Astyanax mexicanus: one gene and its partner. The protein of the gene in region 1 purifies or fractionates together with the protein of each later gene. This does not show direct contact. Links are inferred from orthologs where the notes say so. Each region holds a gene or a part of one and is shown on either strand. Other genes may lie near its edges. The genes, in order: cnot1 and obi1.

Region 1 (13,314 bases):
CCTCCTCCTGCGTGTGTGTGTGTGTTCCGGACAGATGGAGCTCTTCTGTCACACACTCTTGCTGTGTGTCTGTTAGGTGACAGGGTATTTAAAGAGCACACTTCTACACACTGAATCCACCAGAAAGAAGCACATTAGTGGGGCTACTGCACACAGCCATCTACTGGCAGCAGAGAATATGACACTTCATTTGATTTCAGCAGAGTTTGCAGTTGTAAATCTGACGGGGAAAAACATCTCACATTTTAAGACATAGGAAAATCTACATGGAGAAGAGTTCAGGATAAACCTCTGCATTTTAAGATTTACTGCCATCTCTCTGGTCATGCAGCGCCACAGAGAAGTTGGAAGTGTTCTCCAGCAACGTACATCACACTATTCAACTGCCTCTTGCTCTTAAAAACGACTTCTCGGATGTTCGTTGCAAATATGTGGAATTTAAAACAAGCCGATTGCATTAGAGTGATGAAATGATTTCCTGAAATGGTGCTTGACCTGCCAATCAAATCTCAGTGTAAAGAAAGATACGATAAATCCACTTTCTTATCTTTCTCATTTCATTTTCTGCTCAAGAAATAAACTACCAGTAAACTTCCAGGAGGACTTGGCTGTACCACCTGCTCCTTCATTCTCAAAGCTGGAGAGAGGAGGGCTTTAATCAGCGGATCATTTTCAGCAGATCAATTTTTTAAACATTTTAGAGGCCTCAAAAAAAATAAAAAGAGAGAGAAAGAGTTGTTTCGTCAGCATTACCACCATTTTTACATCCACATTTTTACTCAAATGACCACATTTTTGAACAGTCAAGCATTTCTTCAGTTCTCCGGCACCACCTAGTGGTGGGAGAGTGCATGTACTGTGGAATTTATTCGAGAGGAGCTGAACAAGAAGACAAACATTTTTAATTTATTCCATTTTTAAAATAATTTTGGTGCTTGTTTTTATTTGTTCTTGTTGTTTTTTGTATTCACAATGCTTGTTGTTTAAATTTGTGTATTTATTACTGTTTATTTTATTTGAATATGAATGGTTGTTTTTGTTTGCTATTGTTTCATTTTGTTTGATGGATTTGCTTGTTACACAGTATGAATACGCTGACCAAGATGAGGAGCTTTGTTTGACACACTGCAAAACATATTAGATCATATTAGATAGTTTCTTCATTTTTGCATGTACTTCAAGTACATATAATGTATTACAGTCTTAAAGATGACCTCAATTGTAGCATAAAGTTTTTATTTTTTTAATGGGAGATAACAATGAGCCAAAACATTATGGCCATCCACCTTATATGCCTTTAGACTAATGCATGCAGCCAAAACAATAGTTTGGCAGTGGACAAGGGCTTGCTTTGGTACTCTGAACCGCCTGTTGCTACACAGTCCCATAAGCATGTAAGCTTCTGTGAGCCTGGCAACCTGTCATCAGTCCTCTGAACACCGTAGATAGGTAAACACCACTGCTAACCACAAGCTGCCCCACAGAAGTCTGACCATTTTAACCCTCTGTGGCATGAGTTTTATTATAACTGAATAATAAGCACTGCTAAGTCCTGAGTCAACAAATTAAAACACTTTGAAAACGTAAATTAAAACAAAAAAAAATTAATACCTCAATATATTTCTTTACATATTGTTGCTCATATACATGTTTTATTTTTCGTAAATGTCTTTAAAGTGAAACATGTTAAAACACTATATTTTTCTTATCAATTACTAGTATTGCATCCCATGTGGCTTTGGTTGCAAAAAAAAAAGATTATTCCACCTCCAAAGAGAATGTCCAAATTCTTCTCTTTATTTTATTTAATGGAGGTGTGTCTTGTGACATATAAAATAAGATAAAATAAACATAAACAAGGATTAAAGGGATTGAATAATCAACAAAAAAAAGTTGTTTGTTGCCATAGAGGGTTAAAGTCATTTGAAGTCATTCCAACACAGTCTAACCCAGTACAAGTTAACAAAAGTTCCTCAAGTCTTCACACCTTGTCTAGCACATGCCTAGAACCAGGATTGAACACTATTCATTTGAGTGATGTGGTCATAATGTTTTGGCTCCTTTTGGGACACAGTAAGCTCTTCCCCTACCTTCCCCCATTACAGAACTAACGTGGACAGTGGTTTAGTGTCGAGAAGTGTTAACATTGCTGATATATATTGATTGTGGCAACTGCTTTCTACTTGTTTTATTGATCAATTTGGGATTAGTTCTCACAGCAATGTCCTTTTCACCACCAACACCACCACCAACGAATATAAGCTTCTCCTCAAGTCTCCTCAAGCTCGAATGAATTGAAACACTGTCTGTCTGTCTGAATTGGTGCTGAGTGTTGTAAAATAATGAGAGGAATAATTGTTTTTCCAAGAATGTTTGGTATATTAATGGGGCTGTTTTTTTTTTGTGTTGAATTGAATTTGGCTATGGCTGGTGTTTTTACAAAGAATTGAAAGAGTATTTATTTTTCTAAGACGAGTCTTAATCCGTGTAGAGAAAAGTTTTGCAACTGCACCGACAAAGTGTACATTTGTGTGTGGGTTCCATTTTTCTTGAATTATAGCTATGACTTTGTTGTGTGAGACACAATTAGACCCTGTATGTGTGAGTGTGTGTGTGTGTGTGTGTGTGTAATTTGACAGAATTTGCTCGGGTTCTGTTTAGTCTGAACAACCTCAGGTAATTGTCAGGCCAGAGCTCATTGATTTGGTCCCTTTTGAAATGCCAAATAATGTTACGATATTCATTTTGAGGTTCGAGTCCATTCACTTTAATTGTGGTGTCCCTCAGGGATCTGTGCTGGGCCCTGAAAGCATCACCAGCAGCAAATGAAATGAGCCGGTTTTGTATTTCTGTTTTTGTTTTATTTTGTTTTGTTTGCATTCAGGTTAATACAGGTTACAGTCTTCCCATTCACGTTGTTTCAGAATCAGAGAACTCTTCGGGGTCTGAGGTCAGTTCAGGTTAGTATTTTTCCACATGCTTTGTTAGGAAACTAAAAACAGTGTCTTCTTCAGGCAATAAAAGTCTCTCCTCCAGGCTTCCAGAAATCACATTTTCCACTTCCCTACTGAACTCACTTCACAGCTTAATGAGGTACAGTGAAAAATGCTCAGGGCTCATTTGACTGTTTAAAAAAAAAAAAAAAACTTTTGATATTCTGTTATTTATATGGACTTGGAACTGCAGGAAAACAAACATTATTTAATTTGGAAGACTGTTCAACAGGTTCAGGGTTAGATTTGACGTTCTGACGATTTTGTTTGGTGTGTTTGTATGAAGTTTGCCTGGTGAGGTTTAATGTGCTTGCACTAATTTATCTCCATACAGCTTTGGTGTTATCTTCTAAACAAAGGAAAGAGTTTCTCCACCCCATCCCCACCACTGCAGAGTGCTTGTCTTTGTCTCAACACCCCTTCCTATAATAGTCCTGAACCTGTTTGACTGCATCCTGAAGAGCAGCCTCAACCACCTCAGATATAAAACCCAGGACTCGCAGGGTTGTCCAGAATGGTGTCGAATTCCAGTTGCATCAAAACCTGCCTGGGGCTTTAACTTCATGTCCTTCATAACATCCTCCACCCTCACCCTCACCCTGATTTTATTATGGTGCTATATCTATATTGTCTGACATATATGTATATGCAGGCTAAAGTGCATATCATGCATATGTATTTTGGGATGATGTTTTGTTTGATTAAGGGGTGTGTATCAGCCAACTTCTACATAAATCCTGCACTAAACAAGCTCTGCCTACATAATTATGTAGCTGTAACACACACACACATACACACACACACACACACTACTTTGCTCCACATTGGTAAACATCTCTGCAAACTTTCATAACATGTCATAACAATGTTACTGGCCTGCAGGCAGGGCTTGTATCATGCAGTACTTTAACTTGTACAGTATTTATTTGGCATTCTCTGTTCTCTTTTTTTTTTTTTTTTTTTTCCTTTCTTGCTGTCAGTTTTACACCAAATGGAAGTGTTGTTGGTCATAGTGTGTACTTCCCTAGATTTGATGCTCTGAATTATGAATGTTTGTTTTTTCTTTACCTTATTCTGTGCCAGATATTTCTCGTCACACTGTTACAAATTGCATTGGATCTTTTGAATAGGAGATTTCAGCTGTACAATGCGGCCTGTACATATTAAAAGATTTATGAGTGAACAAATCCTTCTGGTCAGTGTGGATTTGCTTTTACGAAAGCCTTTCTTAGCACACTCTGCACTGAGAGCTGTGCTCATGCAAGGACTAATGTGAAATGTGTGTTTTTATCCAGAGGAAATGGCTAATGCAGATTAGTTTTTATTTGTTTATAAGCATGTGTATTTTCCTAACTAGACAAAAAAAAAAACTAGTTTAAGGCTACGTTCACATTACAAGCCACATTAAATAATGAGTTAGCAGCTCATATGTGGAGCATCTTTTGCTGGAGTGGAGAGTAAACAGCTGCTCTGAAGTTCATGCTCAGGTCCAGGAGGTGAGAAAAGGCCAGGCGGTTTGCTTTTGCTGTTTTATTAGCTATAGCTGCACAGCTGCACCAAGAGATGTGTGGGTACGAGAGAGAAGCACGTAGCGCTAATGCTAACGTGTAAAAGCAAAAAGACGCATGAATCTGATTTGAAAAAATCGGAATTTATACGTTCACACAGCCGTGAAAAAAATCTGATCTGAGCCACATTGTGCAAACAATTTGATTTAAATCACTTCAGCCTGGTAATGTAAACGTAGCCTAAAACTGTGAACAATGACTTTTGGGGGGAAGATCGTTCTTGACAAGTTATCTTGCAAAAACAGAGAACTTATTGTGATCCTGTGTGCTTGCTATTTTTTTAGCTATATTAAATGATACTAAAATAAAGCCATTTGGGAACTTCAACTGTTCTTTATAAAGGTATTATTAAGTAATCTTGCTGCACAGATTGTTTATCTACCTGTGTAATAATAGCATGTTCTGGGACAATTTGCATCCAGGACGTGCTGGTATTCTGTAGAAAAAATGTTCTTCTCTCTAACTGTGCAATATTGCCAGTTTTGCTAAACCTAAACCTTAACTTGAAGTATCCACCCCCATGCTTCACAGCCTTCTACCATTTTCCTAATGAACCTGTGTTGTGTGGTATACATACTTTAAGCACTGACTTGGAGGTCACAGGCTTAGTATTTTTTTACGACTCTTCAATACGATTATGTTTGAACAAACAACACTGCACAATAGAACAGTGCTCCACCCTCTTCGTGCAAATAAACTTCTATGCAGGTTCTTGTCACTCAGTTGGTGGTTTTGTTGATATTACCAGCATATAAACTCCTTTCTCAGTGTTCTTGTGCTTCCAGATTTCCACAGTTCCCCTTAACTTCTGCATGCACACTGTAGAAACTGCAAACTGAAAGTCCTGGAGCCTTCCCTTTTTTATGGGCATGAGTTTTTTTTTTGTTTTCAGACATTTGGACTGTTGCTGAAGACCATGTTTGATGAAAGAATATTATTTGGCACAGGATTTTTGCACCCAGGTGTGTTTAGGAGTGTGTATTATTATTATTTGCACTCAGGTCTAAGTATAAATTTGTACTACTACTAAAAATATTTCATAATTTATTTTTAAGTGCATTAAGATATACTGCATTACAAAGTTTTAAATTAAAGGTGAAAAGCCTCCCTGTATTGCAAATGCTGCTTGTACCAAAGGACAAATAATCCCATAAATTCCCATATTTTTTTTTACCTTAAGAAATATTCATAATGTTCTATAATAATAATGACCTACTTTACCCACACAAGTTACAGCTATATAGATGATTATGCTGTTTTTATGTGCAAATATTGTTTGAAAAAGTTATGCATATTTTAATAAAATGCTATAACTGACAGAATTGTTTGTCATATTTTTTCGTCATCTGATAGGTTGTTGTGCTGCGCGCATCGGGCACGACCATACGAACTAGTGATTCGGTTCGATTTAAACCGATTCTTTCCAACTGTCTGATTCAATGAATCAAATGTTCAATTCAGTGAGTCACTGATTCTCAAATCAATACCTATTGATTATTTTTACTTATCAATTGATCTAAAATGTAAAATATATTTTATGTTATATATGTATGTGGTAATAACCTATATGGTATCATCACACATTTCCTTTTTTTCTCATTTTGTTTTTTCCCCTGCGTTCCAGTTATTTTGTTATTGTATCTTAATAAACAAAACCATTATCATTTATTTTTAAATTATTAGCCTGTCTTTATCCTCTAAATTAAACACTCTGCATATTTATAATTTGTCTTTAAATATGATTCAATGAAGGAATGTAAGTTGACCATCACACCCCATCTCCAAACCCCCAAACTTATTCCAAAAAAATTGTAATAAGAATAATATTACAATAATAATAGAATATGAGCACCATTATTCCAGAGAACAGTTCCACTGCCCCACAGATGACCCTGTCTCAACAATTTCATTTTCACTTTAATAATTTTATGTGACTTCAAATTAGGCATTGTATTTATTTAGCTAGGGAGGAGATCTCATTAACACAAATATTGACTTAATTTATTGGTTTTATTAAGTTTTTATTTATTTAGAATATTTTGACTTTTTTATATTCCAGTCACAATATCTGATATTTATATTAATTTTAAGTGCACTGCTCTTTAACGGGTGTAATTACATTGTTATATCATAATGCTATTATACAGTACAAGTCAAAATTTTGACTTTGAGCTTAATGGTGTAAAAATATAGATTTCTTTGCATAGGTAATTCTATGTCCCTATTGCTAGCATTGTAAGTTGAAGCAAGTGCTGTATTTCAGAATGCTTGGGGTAAATGGAACAGGACTATTCGACAAACGTTTGTACTCGTCCATGTACATCATGTTTCACTACACCCCAAGCATTCTGAAATACAGCACTCATTAAATAGAGCACTCATTTTCTGCAAATAAGTGCTCTAAATTACAACATATCAATTAAGAATTTGGGAAAAATGGCTGAAATAACAACAAAGATGCAGAGCTTTTAGACCTTAATTAATGCAAATAAAACAAGTTCATACCTATAAAGTTTTAAGAGTTCAGAAATCAATATTTAGTGATTTTTAATCACAGTTTAATGCAGCTTGACATCATGTTCTCCTCCACCAGTCTTACACACTGCTTTTGGATAACTTTATGCTGCTTTACTCCTGGTACTCCTGGAAAAATTCAAGCAGTTCAGCTTGGTTTGATGGCTTGTGATCATCCATCTTTCTCTTGATTATATTCCAGAGATTTTCAATTTTGTAAAATTAAAGAAACTCATCATTTGTAAGTGGTCTCTTAATTTTTTCAGAGCTGTATATTGTATCTAGTGAATAGTGAATAGTGAATGTGTTAATAAGTGAACCATTCCGAACACAGTTAGCTTTTGAATCAGCTCTACGTATTTGATTCACGAAGATCGGTTCAAACGAGCCGATTCGTGCGCGAGTCAGGACGTCGCTAATAAGAAGAGCAGCGCCGCTGGGTGCGCGCGAGCTATGATAGTCGCCATTTTATTTTCGAAAAAGCGAACAGCACCGGGGAGGAAAGCGACCTTTCACCAGAGCAGACCGAGCCGAGAAACGTAAGAGAGAGAAAATACACACGATCAGCGGCGCGTAGTTTGTGTGAACGGAGGTAACGTACGCGTTTCAGCTCTGCTCTCGTTTTGGGTTCCGCTCGCGGACGTTAGATTAGTCTTGTTATCGTGCGGCGCTGCTGTGTTAGCCGAGTGCTAATCTACCGTCAACGCGCAGTCAGCCCGGCTAGCCTGCTTCTCTACAGCCGCTCAGCGGAGCGAGGCAGGCGGGGGCGGATTCACGCAACATCGCGGTCTGAGAGCACTGCAGCAGATACACGGAACTAGGCTAGCGGTTAGCTAGCTAATACCTACCAACTCTAGCGTGTTTATCACTTAACTACAGATCACTCCTTTTAGTTAGCTGTCTTTCACTCTGTTTAAATGTGAACACAACTTATAAATATCAGATATTTTTTATAGATATAATAAAATTATAATTACTAGCTAGATAACATTATTCACGTTACTCAAGTTTTACTGTATTTAGCTAGCTTAGCTTCGATAGCTAAGCTAGCTGAGGCCCAGAACACAAGCTTAGGTTTACAGTCATCTAGTTACTTCTGAGCTTTTTAACATAATTTAACTCATTTACACACGAAATAAACTGCTCAAATTGTGATTGAAATATTTTTTTAAATCGTATAATTTACAAAAACAAAACACAAGCGAAACTATAGCCAGCATTCATGGCATGTGTGTTAACTAGCTAAGCTAGCTAGTAATGTTATGCTCTCAAGCTTGCTAGCTAGCACTAATGGTCTCTTAATGGTTCAAGGCTCCAGCATTAGCTTAGCGTTAGCTAGCTTAGTTAGCTGGGTTAGCTAACTAGCTGAAGGCCCTGTCTGCAGTGGACCGATATGTTTTCCGTTTCTCCAGAGGATAACCATAGAAGGTGGCTAGCTAACATAACGAGATTAGCTAGCTGTTAAACTCTTAATATGATGGATTATTCGTCGGGGATATTAAAAATAAACAGATGTGAAACTGAGGCCTTGAGCTGTAGTTCTCTGACGCTTTTTTAGCAGGTGAACAGAGCTGGTTGGCTAGCTCAGTTTGGAAACAAAGGTTTTTCTGAAGTTGAGAAGGGTCTTCTGGCTGACGTGAACTTTAACCAGGTTAGGCAGTAGGTTAGATAACTAGCTAGCTAAATAGGTTAGATCATCTAGACAGGCACTTTATGAATAAACATTTAGCTGTGCTAGTCTAGCTAAACATACAAATTAGCTAACCTATAGCTATTTGATAAGTGGTAAGTTAGCTAGCTAGCTTAAATCAGTGGATTGTAGTAATTCACTGTAACGTTACTTTGCGCAAATTGGTGTTTTCCTACTCACCACTAGACCAGCCACTAAGCTCTTCTTAAAGTTGAAAACGTTGTATTAGGGCAGGGAAAGCACAAATATGTAGACACGCTGGACTCCAGAAGATTTATTTTGTAAAAAAACACTCGTGTGCCGTTAAAAAAAACAAATCTAAATTTATTATAAGACGAGGCAGCTGCTGCTTTAGCATGTTGGGTTAACTTGCTAACTAGCTGCTACCATTTACTTCTTGGGGTTGACTGTAAGCACCATCTGGCTAAACAAATAAATAAACGGTTGATTCCAGAAGATTGTGTTTGAGAAAGCACTGGACGCTTAGTATATGGTTATTACAGGATAATGCATCTTCTATTTTAGCTAGCTAAAATGGTAGCTAGCTTCCACCAGTCAGTTCTGACGGTTGAAATAGCAGGAAAAAGCACTAAAATGTGCAGGCAGCAGGTTTTAAAATATGTTGTTATTGTAATTATCGGAATAAATCAGGTTTATTTGGCGTATTCACCATTGTTAGACGCATCATATTTAAGTAGCTACGTTAGCTAGCCTTATAGGAGATGATGCAGCTGTTACCTTAGCATGTTAGCCTGCAAGCTAGCTAGCTGGCTGCTGTTTATTTCAGTCTGCAGTAGAATTTTCCTCTTATGGCTAACTATTTTGTAAAGCTAAGATTTAGTTTATTTACTTCCTTACTCGTGGTTTTACAATCTTTTAAATGTGGATAAACTAAATTAAGATTGCAGGAACCAAGCAAGCTAGGTTTAGCTATCTGCTAGTCAGTCTGGGGAATGAATGAATTGACTACTGATATGGTTTAACATATCAGTTTAACACTATATTCACCTGGGTTGTCTCCTTTCTCAATAAATTCTCCAAAATTGTCGAAATTGGGTGCCTTTTAGTCATTTCTTGTTTTTGAGGTGGAATAAAGTGGTAACTAAAACATTAAGGATGTCTTAGGAATGGAATAGCAGTGGCCTCATTGATTCCTGGACAGATTTTTGACAAAGGATTTATACATTTTATTGATGTAGAGGTAAATAGTAAAGCAGGTCTTGCTTCTAAATTTCATACAGTAGGTCTTTCACAAATATTGTGCCAAAAATAAATCATTGAACATTTGATTCGTATGACAATTTCTTAACACTGATAAAATAAACATTTATTTTTAAACAGCCACAGACTTTTAATTAGGAAATATTTAGATATTTGTTGTGACATATAAGATTTGTAACAATGGAAATTAATGTTTAATGGGCTCTTCTTGCCAAATGAACTCGATAATGTTATTATTACATATAGCCTTGCCTATACAGCTAAGAGGGTTTAGACACCTTGTTGACAAGCAATGGTTCGAGTTTACCGTGTTTTGGTTTGTACTGTAAATGACTACTCGCATCTGTGTGTCCCAGAGTGTGTTTGTACGCACGAACCGCTCTATTGTAAGTAAAATAACTGATTAAGTAAGTTGTGTTTACACAGTTGCTTGTTGACTGTAGCTTTATCTCCTTTTGAAATTGTACTTTCTAGACCAATCTAATCTAAAGACCAATACCTAACTGTAGAATTGCCATGGCTTCCGGGTATGCAGCTGCATGCACCCTTAAGTTTCTCTTTCTCTATACTTCTGCTGCTGCCAAAGTTGTGGTTTTAGTAGAAACCAAAGAACTGAAACTAGGTTTTATTGCTGTTTTTTACCATGGCAGGTTAAGCAGCGGTGAATTAAGTAGTTTACATGCATACGTGTTTACAAGCAGTTTGACTTCTCACAGTAACTACAGAACTACAAACTACAAAAACGTATAGTGTTGCAGGTTAACTTGTAAAATTGCTGTGGGAGTAGGTCTTCCAAGTATGTCAGCATATAAACTTCAGATTTTTGTACATGCATACTTTGAAACCTATAGGCCTGGCATGATCAGTCACAAAGCTAGTAAAAAAAAAATTGTCAGGAAATTTGCCTTTTCTAATCATATTGTGGACATCGTCATTGTTAAAGAATATGCAAAACAAAAAAAAGACATTAGCGTGATATTTGTAGCACGTTACCACCTGTATTCTAATGGAATTTTACTGTTTTAATAATCGTAAAATACATTTATCAATTTTGTATCTCAGTAATTTGATCTAGTTGCTGTTCACCTATAAAATGGACCATTTTAAAATTATTTGTAAGATTTTTTAAACTTTCTTTCCGTGTTGCAGGTCTGTCATTCCCTTTCTAGATGTTAATATTTCTTTCTTTTTCTTCATTTGTAGATGTCATTCTTGAAGTTGCAGTAAGGGACCGTATTTTGAATCAGGATCCACCGACAGAAGCCACTTGTTGGACACACGGACAATTACACACCTGGGGAGGGGGGGGAGCAGAAGTAACCTATCACCGAAGTGACTAAAGGGGAATAATGGTGATTTTGCGCCGTGCTCGGCCGCCTGCTTCCGCCCCAACCAGCAATGAATCTTGACTCGCTCTCGCTGGCTTTGTCTCAAATCAGCTACCTGGTGGACAATTTAACTAAGAAAAACTACAGAGCCAGCCAGCAAGAAATACAGCATGTGAGTTTCTGTTAAGCTGTTGATGTTGATTATGAAGATCAATAATGGAGCCATGTTTTCTACATTAATTTATACTGTTTATGCTTTAATCTTTTAAGATATTTTACAAAAACATGTAATGTTAATGTTTTGTTAGCATCACAATATCTTACAGACAGCCATTGTGTTTTTTATTTTTTTTTATTTATTTATTTATTTTTTGTCTATAAGGCTTTAGGGACATGTTAAAGCCAAATAATCTCAGTTGTGGATTACTTTATCGCAGTCAGTGCAGTATGTCATTCACAGATGTAATAAGTGTTAGGGCTGTGAAGGTCACACTTACTTGATGGGCATGGAACACACTCTCACTCTCCCTATATCTCAGATTGTGAATCGTCACGGCCCTGAGGCAGACAGGCATCTATTACGCTGTCTCTTTTCCCATGTGGATTTCAGTGGCGATGGTAAAAGCAGTGGGAAAGATTTCCACCAGGTACCTTTTTTATTTATTTGCTAGTTAGATTTTTTTTTTTAATGTTTATTCTTTCATTTCTGGTTTGATTGGTACAGGAATGTCTTTCCACTCAGTGCTCATGGATTTACTGCTAAGTAGGGCTATAACATGTTGTATTAAATTGTATTGTATATGTCGTAACATTGTAATATAGTGATTAAAAACACCCATATTGTAGTAATAGCATTATTTTCTATTATTTTCTATTTTCTATTGTTTACTGAATTAAAATATGTACTATTGAAGCTTTAGGGGAATATTTGTTGAATTGTTTGCAGTTTAATGTCATGTACTTTAATTTGGGAATTTGAAATTGTACACTAAGATTGCTATTCTTATTAATACTGCAAACCTTTATGCTAACATGCTGTAGAGTTGCAAGAAACTTTAGGCCTGAAAATATCTATTTTTATATATTTTAAGTTATTTAACTTGTACAATTTTCCTGACATTCTCAGGACCAGCTGTAGTATAATCTTTTATTTTAACTTTCCGTGCTTCTGTATGTTACATATTTGTCCACAGTAGGCTGTAATGTATGCATTATAGCACAGTTATTATTGACTGTTTCACTCTTTACTGATTCTTGTGTATCATTTAAAGAAAATGTATTGCTTTTTGTGCTTTAATCGATTTTCTTCTGTTAGACACAGTTTCTGATCCAGGAGTGTGTGTCACTTATCACAAAGCCAAATTTTATTTCGACTCTCTGCTACGCCATTGACAATCCTCTGCACTATCAGAAGGTTTGTGTAGTTTGCCTTGAAAGCTATGTCAAATAAACACAAGGTCAACTTTTATTTAGTTCCTAATCTTATTTTTTCTGTTTCTTTTTTCTGTTTTCTGTCTTTCTTTTTCTTCCTACTTCCCCCAATTTCTCTCCTCTTCCATCCGTCTGTCTGACAGAGTTTGAAGCCATCACCGCACTTGTTTCCTCAACTGAGTAAAGTTCTCAAGCTAAGCAAGGTTCAGGAGGTAAGTAAAAAACTAGGAAGCACTATAATACTGAACTTTCATTATTGGTTAGTTTGTGAACTTGTCAATTAACCCATTCTCTTTTGGACTAGGTAATTTTTGGCCTTGCTCTTCTGAACTCCAGTAACTCAGACCTCCGAGGATTCGGTAAGCGTTCTTATCTGATGCAGTTTCAGTGTATGTTAAAAAAAAACAAAAACGTTGTGTTACATTTGTGGTAAGTCCCCTAATATTGTGGTCGAAGGTATCATAAGCTTGTTTTAACTGTCTCTCTGTACTCTGGCAGCTGCTCAGTTTGTGAAACAGAAGCTGCCAGACCTTCTGCGCTCATACGTGGACGCGGACCTCGGAGGGAGC
Region 2 (13,111 bases), on another chromosome or scaffold:
ACCACTTCCTTCACAGACAGGGAAGACGTATGGGAAAAACGGAGGGCAGTAATTTGACGGATGGTCCTCAGTGGTTTTATTGGGCAGTGACTGATAATCCTCAGTGGGAGAGCTAATCTGATAACAAGTCTGGCTGAAATATCTTACAAACGACTGGACGCGGTCCGTCGGGCCAAGCAGCTATGATTGATACTTGGACACACACACACACACACACACACACACACACACATGCACACAGACACAAAAACACACACACATTTACATGCTCTTTAAAGGAGAGTTATTTTAATGCCTTTTGGATGTTGATGTGTTTCTTGTAATGATGGTGCTGCTATTGATGTATTATGTTCAATGGCTTCTTTCCTTCCACAGCGGAAGACATGTGACTAGTATTTGATCTGAATAGTACCATTATATGATTTTAACCTCATGCATTTACACTTGCAGAATTTACAGAATGTGTCTCCAACAGAGATACTGAAATCTGATTAGAAAAAGCTGTTTGGGATGGAATATGCAAATCTGCTTGTTACACAGAAGCTAAGGATGAACCAATACCATTCTGCCCTTCTGATACTGATGCTAATGTTAGATTATCTGCCGACACCAAGTACAGATACTGATACCAAATGTGACCAATTGATTCAGTTAGATCTGTATGTGAGTTGTGAGGTGTTATCTTGTGAGTGAGGGTAAACACTGGGCAGTGTGTTCATGGCAAGGCCTGTTGGAGATTTGATCGTGGGTGCAAATGGATGGTACATTGTGTTTCTGAAGTTGTGAGGGCATTTACCATTCCTCAAAGTCATTACCACCCACAGTGGACAGCGTAATGATTGTGAACGGTGGCATCTGTCTAGAATTGTCAATGTAAAAAGACAAACAACTCTAAAAGAAATCACATCCACATTCAATGCAGGAGACCCCACAAACACATCACACAGGACAGTACAGTGTTCTTTAGCTTCCATGGGATATGGCAAAAGTCATGGGACACTAGATACTAGTTCCTGGCTGATACTTTTGACATATCAGATGAGTTGAATATAATTGATTCTAATCGATTAGGGAAAGCTTTAGTGCACAATGTTTTTGTGGCACATACTGTTGTTTACAGGAGGAAAAAAAATCTTAACTTTGAAATGAAGTCTGTTTATAAATATTGAATTTTAAGTCATTTTCATTCATAAGATTTGTGTAAACTATAGATCTGCCAGATTCAAAAAGTGTCAAAAAGTAAAAAGGGCCATATATATATATATATATATATATATATATATATATATATATATGGCCCTTTTTACTTTTTGACACTTTTTGAATCTATATATATATATTTTGGGTGGAAATAAATGCATATTTTGTAAACCTTTTTAAAACATGAAGATAAAATTTAAATTATATTTAACCACAATTAGATACAGATATTCATCTCCTCCACAATATTGAATCAAAATACAGTTCTTGTTCCTGTGCTTCTAGTGTAAGGGACAATAGTGTGGGTATGAAACCATACAGATGAAAGTGTATTTATAGTCATATTTACAGGTACCCCGTCCCTTTCATATGAAACGACTACGCCAGCATGAGTCATCCTTAATAAAAAAGGAGTGAAATTGGGGATTTATGCTTAGGCCTCATATTGGCAATATGATATAATGCGTTCATAGGAAGTTATTTTTTTATTTTATTCCTGCTCTCTTGGACACATTTTAATCATGTTTTATGTGATCTATGCATGCCGCTTTGTGCTCTTACACTCTTACACACCCTCTCACTCGCTGCCCTTACCAGAACAGATTGCTACAATACTTGTAATGATGCTTCTCCCCAGCTGTGGAAGGACGGGGCCAGTGGACGACAGCATTTCCATAATAATCCACCCTGCGCTCCCAGGGGCCCTCTGACACTGAGGCGTGTGTGTGTGTATGTGTGTGTGTGTCTGTGTGCATTGGATCCACTCACAGGGCATCAGCTGTTCCGTAAAGGGGCACAGAGTGCGTGGGGCATTCACTCGTCTGAGCCCGCCTGCAGGCCATGCAATAAAACCAGCAGCTTCAACAGCACTACTGCAGAGAGGAATATATATAACAGAGAGAAAGAGATAGAGAGAGTGGAGGGAGGGAGAGAAAAGGGAGAGAGAGAGAGAGAGAGAGAGATTTAACTTTTAATTCTAATTTTAGGAAGCAAAAATATGGTAACACTTTACTAACATTACTTTTACTGTCTATTTTTACAAATGTAATTTTTTTTTGGCCTAATAGGAACCTAGATGTTATTCTTTACATTGTGTTCAATTGTCATGATGCATGGGTCAATAGAAATGCTCAAAAATTGCTTTGATAAGTTATTTTTTTATTTCACTTCCATTTCAAGTTTTTTTCGCATTATTTTTCGTACTGTAAGCGTTCTTAAAATCCAGTTCGCCTAATTTATGAATTCTACCATTGAGGTTGTAAGGAGCAGTAAAGCATTGTTATACAGAAGTTTCAGTGAAGTTTCTCCAGCACCGAAGCTGGAGCAGTATTAGCATTAGCCGAGCATTAACTGCACTAAGCGCTAGCTCTTTTGCCGTTCAAAGGTGAGTATATTGGACTGTAACCTGCCGCTAACTCCGGTTAGCACAGCTGGAGCAGCATTAGCATTACTTGCTGTTGGGCCTGCAGGTCCCGCACACTTGTAGGCTGCAGAATCTGGCACCCAAGCTGTTTCTATAAAAGCTTGATTGGTAATAAATCTGGTAAACAAGCAGGACAAGGCAGTGTTACAATCTAGCAGAGCCATTCCGGTGAAACCCTTACTGTGTGTGGGTGAGCATTATCCTGCTGAAAAATATGACCCCAGGATGTCCTGTACACATCACTTGGCTGTTAGTGTTCCTTATAGTATTTCTACTAGGGGTGACTGATTATCGTATACAATGGCTCCTTAGACCATCCCATCAGCATTTGGGGCAGTTAGTCGCTCCACAGCAAAGGCAGGACTGAAGCACTCACCATGAGGCATCCATCCTCAAAAGCTGTTTATTCTGATATAACAATAAAATAAGTTGCTTCAATGCATTTTTTCTTAATTCATACTTTACTGTAAAAGTAATTATTTTCATTTACAAACCGAATAAAAAATTTGATTATATTTACTGCTGCCAGTTCTATATAATTGTTTAACTGTTTATTTTTTAAGTGTAGGTTGCATTGTTTAAAAGAGATTAAAGCTTTTGCCTATTTTATTAGATTAAATAAGTAATTTTATTGGCACAAAAGTTAGTCTTAGTTAATAACTAAGGGATAAGTGTGCTGATCCTCAGGATAATGGGGGGCAGCAGCTGCTGTTCTCCTGAACTCTACCCTGCAGAGAGGTGATGGAGCTTAGGTGAGCGTCCCACTGCTACAGCGAGTCGCCATGGCACTCTCCTCCATCTCCACAGCTATCTCCATCAGGGGCATCACTAATCAATACATTCCTCCTGCAGGGGGTGGGGGCAAAATGTCTAAATCACCACAAGAGTTCAGCCACGGCATGCTAAGCTAATCCTGTTCAGCCAGAGTCACTGAAAAACATACCAGACTAGAGGTAGCGGAGCGTGTCCCTATCTGTGTGTATCTGTGTGTGTGTGTGTGTGCAGGGAAACAGGTGGGGGGCAGGACAGAGGGAAGGAAGGAGGGATAGAAGGCTAATTAATGTAAGCATTTGTCAGTGATTAAGCTTTAAACAGAAAAGGTCAGGCTAGCGGTGGAACCGGGCTTCTCCCCGATGCTCTGCTCTAAGGCAGTCTAAACCTTTCCAGCCTAAATGGTAAAGATGCCATTTCGCCGTGTGTGTGTGAGAGCACGCGTGGAATGGGGGCTCAGGCCGGACGCTCGGGTCACCCTCCATTACCCCGGCCAAGCTAAATCTGCCGATCTGTGTCATTTAGGGGATGAAAAATAAGGCCCAGGACGAAATCAATAGACGCTGGAGTCTCGACCAGCTGTGATTAATTGACTGTCACCAATTAATGAGCGAACGATTACAAACCACTGGACTGAGGCATGTAGGGGGTGAAATATGATCTTAGGAAAGATTGTGGAATATTTTGAACGTTGACTATTCTTTATTTAGACACTAGAGGTTTTTAGAATTTTTTTTAATTAGTTTTTTTGTCCAACATGTGCAAGGAATTTATGTAAAGAACTTTAACATAAAAATATGTTCATAAGGTTTTTGTAACGAAAGTAAACACAAGATTACAGAAATTATTAAAGAAACACTTACTTTTATACTCCAACTAGGTCTGGGCAATGTAAAGTATATATCAATATTCAGATAGTAAACAATTTTATGCAAGATATAAAATTGCCACGTTCATTATTTTTTAAATTTGTAATAAGTGTAATATATGCAAATTTGTTAATTCCAAAAAGGTGCATGGGTTGTTTGTATGGTCTCATTTCTAGAGGGATGTCCAAAGTAAAGTATAGTGCAAAACATCACCATTAAAGGTGGCGAGGTCAGGCAGGACACAGCGGAATATTCCTTTTAAACACTGAGACAACTGAGACATGGCATCATCTGAGGTGATGATTCACTGGGATGAATCATAGTTCCTGTAAAGTATGAAATCACTGCTGCTTTAAAGTTCTGAGGCATTACGAGAACATCATGCTTTTAGGTGTCTGTCATGAGTGTGCATGTGTGCATTCCCATTACTGTGATGTCACTAACAGCACAACACAGAGATACTGCATGTTTGAGGCTTTTCTTAAATGACTTCCATAGTTCTGCTAATCCGTAACAAGACCACCACTTTTGAAAAGTGTGGGACATGATGTCTGACCAAATAAGAATAAAATAAAAAAAGTAAGTCTATGCAATGTACAATCATAATTTATTAGTCGATTTTGTTGTTAGCTTTTTGGTTAGCTTTTTTCATTGATATTCCGGCTTTAATGTCTTATTTACACTAATGAAATCATGGTGGATTGGTCGAGGCTAATATTTACATTGTTACACTGCGTTAAACAACAGTTCATACGTTTTGGTGAGAATGTGTAATTGCAAAGAGCATGATGGAAATTATTAAGTCTTTTTTATGTTGCCAGCTCTCTTCAATTCAAATTTTGTGTGATTGAGCAGATGAAAACTGAGTTTGTCATTCTGATACCACCATGTTTACAGTAACTACGGTAGTAGTGTCATAAGCAGCAGCATATGGCACAAGATGGAACAAACTGTAACTTGCAAAACTGTCTCTTAAAATTATATTAATAAATCCAAAGAATCCTCTGTTAGTCTTGTCTTTTTTATGTTTTTTTTTTCCATTGTACTGTACCTGTACCGAACCGTAAAGTCCAAACCATGGTGTGAACTAAATTGTGACCTTTGTGTACTGTTACACCCCTAGGTATATGTAATGGCATATGACTTATTTCAGGGAATTTAGTAGAGTATCCTCATGCATTATACACAATGCTGACTCACTCAAGAGCAGAAATACTGACTCAACACAGGTCAGGAATTTCTTCATGCTCAAGTTTACATTATTTCATATCTTGCTGAATGTCCTGCATGCATTTTTAAAACGACAACTATATACTGGTGTAGTTTGGGTTTCTGAAGCAGAGAGGACACATTCTGTGCAGTTTTCTTGTGTCTGAAGTTACTGTTGACATGTTTTCACTTGCACAGAAGACTCATACTGTGGGTGTTACAGTGGTACGAAAAAGTGTGGGCACCCCTTATCATTTTCATGATTTTCCTTTATAAATCACTGGTTGTTTGGGTCAGCAATTTTGGTTAAATGTATCATATAGCAGATGAACAAGCAAATTAGACAGATGCATACATTTGGACACTCTTGTCATGCAGAGGGCGCACCCATCCTATGGTCATCTTAAAAGCAGATAAATGAAAAAAAGCTATATTGGCCTTTTAATAAAGACACAGAGACATTTATGAATATGGAATATGTATGAAATACTATCTTCATTTGGAGATCCGTTAAAATGTTTTAATACTTTGGTATACAGTACTACCATTAAAACTCCAACCTTTCAATGCAAGTCCAGTTCATGTTATTAACAAAGCAAGCCGAGCCAATATCATTAGAAAAGCCACTGGCGTCCTGCGGTTGCCCTATAGTGATCTGCTTGGACATAGACTTGTCTGTAGGACATACACCACACAATGTTTTATGGTTAGACAGTAGTGGATGGTGTGTTGAAATGAAACACTTGCAATAAATGGCAGTAATGCAGTTCCAGCATCAACGTTATGCTGCAATCAATGTACAACACAGTTTCCCTGTGGTTCAATTCTAATCAGGTTAGGTCACAAGGGCTCTAAGATGCACTGCCATTAAACTACAAGACAATGAAGCCACAGCATGTTTCTGCCATTTGGCAATGAGTTTTTCAATTCAATTCAGCTCAGTTTTATTTGTAGGACACAAAAGCCCAAAGTGGCTTTTCTAATGAGCATCGCCGAGGGAGAGAGGGAAAGAAACTGCCGGTGAGAATCAGGAAGAAACGCTGAGAAGTACCAAGACTTTCTATGAGTGAGAGGAAGAAACACTAGTGTGGGCTGCAGAACATAGTATAATAAGGATACAAGCCAGACAGCTTTTTAGGACACAGGGACCGTACTGAACATGGGTAGAGAACTGAGGGCTGGGGTCCAGCTCAGTTTGGTTTCCTCACTCTACACACCAGCTAAACTTTCCAATTAACAGGTGAGTTGAATCAGGTGTGCCCTCCAGGGCTCCTGATATAAGGGTTGGAAACACCTGTGCTTAATAACACTAATTTTGTACTCAGCTAAACTTTCCATGTTGGAACACATTCATTATGGTGGATAAAGAACACAGTGGAATCACAGACTGTAACATCACCAGTGGTGGACTAAAAAAGGCAGGATATTCCCAGCTAAGAAAGAACATATTAACGCATTTCCATCGATGTAAAACTGACACCACTCTGGTTCCCAAACCTAATTTTGAACTGTTTGCCACGTTTCCACCAACAAAATAAATTTCAGAACCGAACAGACCTAATGGTTTTTACAAGCCCAAACGGAACTGGTTCAAGAACCAGAGTTCTTTTGGTGGAAAAGCGCTCTATAAGAATGTTTAGCAAGGTTGTTGAACCTTAAACCTTAAAAGTTCCAGGAATGTTATGAGAATGTAACATAATAATATCTGCAGCACAATGTTATTAAATTATTTCTCACATAACGTTTCTAGTTAGATGAACACTAATGCTATGGAAATGTTAAATGTAACAATACTCAAAACTAAAAATAAATACAATAACACAAAAATATTCTAAGCACATCCAGAAAACCTAACCCTAATTAACCCTTGATGGGGCACAGCTGTTAACTGAAAGCCATGAAAGCTTGGTGACTACCTCATAACGCCAAGATATCTAAGCAAGAGGTGCTACTTTAAAGTATTTAAAATATAAAACAAAATCTGGTTGGTTTATTATTTTTTTGTTTTTTAAATTTCTTTCTCATAGTTTGAATGATTTTAATTTAAAATGCTGATTTTTTTTAAATAATGGTACTGGTACTGTGTATGCTTAGCTTATATTGACTGGTTCACACTATTTTGATAACTCAAAAATCCTGCATTTGGTCTTCACACTGTAACAAAAATACAGTTTAATTATTCCCAAGTCTTACCAGAAAGTCTTGTTGTCCTTTCCCTGTGTCCTTTTAGTGGATAGTGCTGTTAACAAGCTGTAGCCGGGTTAGCTTTTAGCCTTGAGTGATTAGCTGGTGTTTGGGAGTTAGCTGAAGTAGCTAGCTAGCATTGGCTACAGTAGCTGGGTTAGCTTTGCTTTTAACTGTGAGAGTGACTCTGTGAGAAATGACTTTCAGGTTACAGGTTATTTTAGTTATTTTTTAATATTATTTATTTTTATGAGTTTAGCAACTTAGCAACCTAAATTTTAAGGTCTTAATTCTCTTTATATAAGTTACATATATTTGACATAACAAAAATAGAAGGAACGTCTGAAAATGTTCTTAATATTTGTTTGCTAAGCTAACCACTAGCTAATTTGTTAGTTAGCTATCTAGCTTCCAATGTTTTCTCTAAACATTTTATATGCCTGTTGTGTATATACAAATATAAATATTTATGCACAATTGTTTAAAATATTTATATATATGTATATATATATATATATATATATATATATATATATATATATATATATATATATATATATATATATATATATTTAATATTATTTTCATTTAATTTTTTACCCAAAAGTCCGTAGCAGGGTGTGTGTTTATTTCCCAGCGCTGCTCAGCTCAGGCTTCTCTCTTCCTGTGGAGATTTTGAATCGCGTTTGGTTCCTCCGGCTCGCCGTAGCGCGGTTACCGGCGCTGTTTTGAGTGTGTGTTTTCTCCTAACGCGCGGAGTTTACAGGGTTTTAATCTGCATGTGTTTGTTTTAGAGACTGAAACATGGCGCAGACCTGCCAGAGCGTTACCCTGTCTTTAACTCTGCCCATCTCCTGCCAGATCTGCCTGGGGAAGGTAACTAATGCAGTGAGATTACTGAATTAATGAAGCAGGAGCTGCTTTTGTTCTGCCTGCTTTCACCTCACCTCACTTACCCAGACTCATATACTGAACTCCGGAAAAAAAAGAGATAACAGATAACTAACATACTATTAAACTGTTAAAGTGTTTTCATGTTTTATATTTAGTTTCTGCTTTTATTCGTTGGTTAGTTTGGCTAGTGCTTTAAACCTCTTGCTCTGATGCTCTGTGTATATTTTAGTGTGGTGCGGAGAGGCTAATACCTGACCTGAAAACAGTTTAACCTACTAAAGTACTTTAGCTTAATGAACTTAATAGTTAAAACAGTCAGTAAACCCAACTTATTTATTACTTTAAGTAAGTACACTCCTCTACTGCTGCTCTATATTACAGGATAAACCTAATTATTATTAAATATTACCAATATAAAAGGAAAGACTTAGTATTTGTACAAAACAGTAGCATAGGAAAACCTGACTTAGCTAACTAGCTTACTTATTTATTGCTCTTGTAAGTATCCTTCACTGCTGCTCTCTACTGCTGTAAGGTTGAACTTTGGTCTAATTGGAAATAAATACATATTTCCAATATAAAAGGAATATATAAGACTTAATATGGTTTAGTGTACGAAAAAGCAACATATGAAAACCTTAGCTCACTAGCTAGTTTACTTAACCTGTACTCTAAAATAAAGTCAATATTATTAACAATATTATATTATTTTTGTTCCTGTTGATACCAGTTATAAGAAATAAAATGTGGTTTAATATACTAAAACAGCCACAGAGTTGTCTGATCACAGATTATATAGAAATGCTATCTAAGAATTGTGATTTTGGCTATATTGCCCAGCTGCAGTGTCTTTTCTCGTATGTATGTATGTATGTATGTATGTATGTATGTATGTATGTATGTATGTATGTATGTTTATAATAGAATAAGTAATTTAAATAACTACTATTATTGGACTCACACAGTTGTCTTCTCTCAACAGGTTCGCAAACCCAAGATTTGCTCCAACAATCATGTGTTCTGCTCGACCTGCATTGACGTCTGGCTTCAGAAATGTAGCCAGTGTCCCACCTGCAGAGTGGCCATCACCCCTGAAAACCCATGCAAAGAAATCATAGGTAACAAGCTGTGGAAGTCCACTGAAGTCCTGCCATGTCTAGTCCTGTTTGTAGTTCCTGCTCTTTTTAGTGGCAAAAAATTTAAATTAAATCAAGTTTTATGGTAAATTAAATATGTTCAGAACCCTGTATGTTTTTGTTTTGTAAGCATTGTTCTCCTTTACATAAGTGGATCTTCAGTATTATGGCAGTATTATTAAGCAATCCCATCATTCAAATAGTTCTACATGCATGCTAATGCTACTGTGCATCAGTTACACCAGAGTATACACATTATGTTTATTGAACATTTATTTACTCTACATTGCCACTGCATTGAAACTGTCTTATTTATCTATTTTTTTATGTGATAATAGGAGCAACAAATGATGACAGCGAATCAAACGAAAGCCACTCAGTTAAGAAGCATCTCAGAAAAACCCGTGGGGAATTAATACTGCAAGAATACGAGGTTTGAAAGTTATGCTTTGCTTTTTTATGCACCTGGTACTTCAGTTTAATTTGTATAATTTTACATACTTATAAGTAAATGTCTCATAATCGGCTATATATTTTTTAATAGTTGATTATTTCTGTGTTTATTTGTCCTTCAAAAGAGCTATAGAAAGTTTCTGATCTGCTGATTGAAATGGTTATTAAATACTGATCTGCATAGAGTTTAGTTCTTCTTTTAGCTGTTTAACACCAGCTAAGTGTTTCTTATGTAAGGCACCCAGTCTGATTCACTGGATCACTGGTCTAACTTTCAGGATGAAATTGAAACCCTACTGAAAGAGAACGAGGAGCTGAAGAGCAAAAACCTGAGCCTCGAGACGCAACTGAAGACTGCTCTGGAACCCAGCACCTGCTTCTCTTCTCAAAGTGAGACTGAAGCCGTTGACCCGAGAGTTCTGGAGGAATCGGCCAATAAACTCAAAGCTGCCAATGAGCTCTATCAGAAAGTCAGACAGGATGTGGACAAGCTGAAAGAAGTAAGATGTTAATGTTTTAATATTCGCTATACAGAAAAGCCAAGCATTCCTAAAGGTTTCAGAAAGCGGTTTTTGGAGTGATGTCAGGGAATCTGGAAGTATGTGGAAGTGCCAGTGGAAAGAAATTTTTCACTTCAGTTTGAGAAAATAAATAAATAAAACATAACATATAGTTTCCATACAAGCACAACACAATTTAAGCGTCTTTAACTGACCGGAGATTGATGCTGTGTAAATCAATAATTAAGAGGTATATTAAAGTAAAAAGCCTCAAGAAATTTTGGCAATGTAACACTGCTAAAAACTTTTTGTTAGCAAAGCTTTACAAAGCAAAGTGAGCAAAGTGAACATTTTACCTTAATTAGGATTTATGAACAATTATATTATTAGAAAAGTGTTTTAATGAACAGTTATTTTAATTGATTATTTAAACATTAATTGTAATGTCACAAGTTTTTAGTTTTTTCTTTGGCACAAAGAAAGTTTGAAGGACTGTTTGTTTGCGCAAAATGCATTATCAAGATGTATTTTTTTACAATGCTTCTAGTAAGGAAAATGGTACTTACATTTAGATTAGATTTAAATTAATTGCCTAGCTTAGGTAGTGCTGGGTGTAATTTTAAAATTATTGATACAGGTATTGATACAATACTTTGAATTCGGTACTGATACCCAAATTATACTTTTTTTTTTCTTTCTAAATTGTAAAAAAAAAATGCTGCTTGATTTCTTTCGAAATAACCAGTTTATTCTAAACAGCTGTTTATTAAGTGTGCCAGCTGATGACTTGTGCTTCTTCTAGGCTGAAATTAAAACATGCAGCCACACAGCATCCCAATGTGGACTGGTTTAACACCACTCGCCCAGCTGAAGGAGAAGGGGTCCTCACTCTTATCCACAAAGAGCCATTGTGACTGCAGGTTTTCATTCTATCATGGCAGTAGCACATTTAAAAACCTGTAGCCATGCTGGCCTTTATAAACAAAATTTTTGTATAACATAAAATGCAATGATTTACAGGTGCAAGCACATGTGAACAGTTTTTCTTGCCAAACACGACAAATTGTCACTTATATCTCTGTGGTTCCCTGTATTATTTCAACACAAAGCTGACTAGGTTGTACATTCTTTTCCCCCCACACACTGAGCCTGAATCTCAGATGGCTCCTTATTCCTTACTACACCGGTCTAAAATAACTGCTTCTGCACCCAAACAGTGCATAATGTGTCTAACAGATAGCCGTTTGGGATTTATCCACGTGTACAATAAATCCCCTGTGGACAAAGTGCTCTATTTCAGTGTAGAAGAATCCAGAATTTCACAGCTCATATAATATGCTGATGCACGGATCCAAAACATTATGACCATACACACATGTTATTTGAGTCTAAAGAGTTTGTGTTGTACCTGCTCTGTAATGCCAGAGAGCAGCTATTATTTGGGTGGTGGGTGAGTCTCAGAACTGCTGGAATGAGAGGCTCAGACACAGCAGTGCTGCTGGAGTTTTTAAACATCCCTGAGAATGTTATACCAACCAGACACAGTGTCTACAAACTCCAGCAGCACTGCTGTGTCTGAGCCTCTCATACCAGCACAACCCGCACTAACACCTCATATACCACCATCATTCCACTGTCGCAGCAGTCTGTAATTATACAGCTACAGTGTGCAGCTGATGAATTAGGCAGTGAATATAGAAACAAAAGGGGGTGCTTTTAATGTTATGGCTAATCTATGTATTGTTGCTGTCAGAACAATTCTTTGTACCAATTTGTAGAAGAACAATCCAAACTCCTCCTTTTTTCCGAGACCTTTCAGAACATCTCCGTTGGTCCATTCATCATAAAACTCGTTTTCTAAAAATTAAAAATGTAATTTTTGAAATGCAAATGTGTTAAAAATTCTATTGAACTGGCACTGGCCAGAGCGCTGTTCCTGCCAGGCTGTAGATCAGGAAAGCTCATAACTCAGTGTTTGGCTGTTATATTATTCAGCTGCCTGCTGTAATGAAATGTCCTGCTACTTGTACCGGTGTGTAGTCCTGGTCAAGCGGGCTTTTCTTCACAATGTATGAACTTTTCCTGACCCTGTCTCTGCGGAAAACGCCTGCTTTTACATGACGGCCTCGGCGGGTTCTATTGACTTTGAGCCGCTGAGTTACTTAATCAAAAGGCTGGTGGTCTGAAGGCAAACTTGCATTCTCTCCCTTCAGGCTAACAAGACCCTGAGGTCCCAGAATGTCGACCTAATCCAGGAAAACATGCGCTTGAAGGCTGAAGTGGAGAGCAGGTCTCCTCAAAAGTAAGCACAACTTCACCATTGTGCACTGATAACTGTGTGTGCGTCTGTGTGTGTTTCCTTTTTTTTTTTTTTTTTTTTTTTTTTTTTTTTTTAACAAATCCTCCAGCATTACAGTTACCGTCACTCTTTCCCCCCCTTCATTATTCCTGAACAGAGCAACTACATATGTG

What was found.
Region 2: the proteins of cnot1 (region 1) and obi1 purify together in Homo sapiens (affinity purification with mass spectrometry; 3 studies listed by BioGRID and IntAct, with this or other methods). This does not show direct contact. The link is inferred for Astyanax mexicanus from reciprocal best matches to the Homo sapiens genes CNOT1 and OBI1.

What each region holds. Positions count from the first base shown.
Region 1 is NC_064417.1:4,144,103-4,157,416, reverse strand, and holds the start of cnot1 (CCR4-NOT transcription complex subunit 1), read left to right. Parts: upstream 1-7,479; 5' UTR 7,480-7,614; exon of another isoform or gene 7,615-7,667; intron 7,668-11,189; 5' UTR 11,190-11,384; coding exon 11,385-11,486; intron 11,487-11,853; coding exon 11,854-11,961; intron 11,962-12,629; coding exon 12,630-12,728; intron 12,729-12,888; coding exon 12,889-12,957; intron 12,958-13,049; coding exon 13,050-13,104; intron 13,105-13,243; coding exon 13,244-13,314.
Region 2 is NC_064412.1:53,331,361-53,344,471, reverse strand, and holds the start of obi1 (ORC ubiquitin ligase 1), read left to right. Parts: upstream 1-8,334; 5' UTR 8,335-8,460; coding exon 8,461-8,532; intron 8,533-9,532; coding exon 9,533-9,668; intron 9,669-10,024; coding exon 10,025-10,119; intron 10,120-10,417; coding exon 10,418-10,639; intron 10,640-12,852; coding exon 12,853-12,941; intron 12,942-13,111. UniProt on the Homo sapiens protein: E3 ubiquitin ligase essential for DNA replication origin activation during S phase.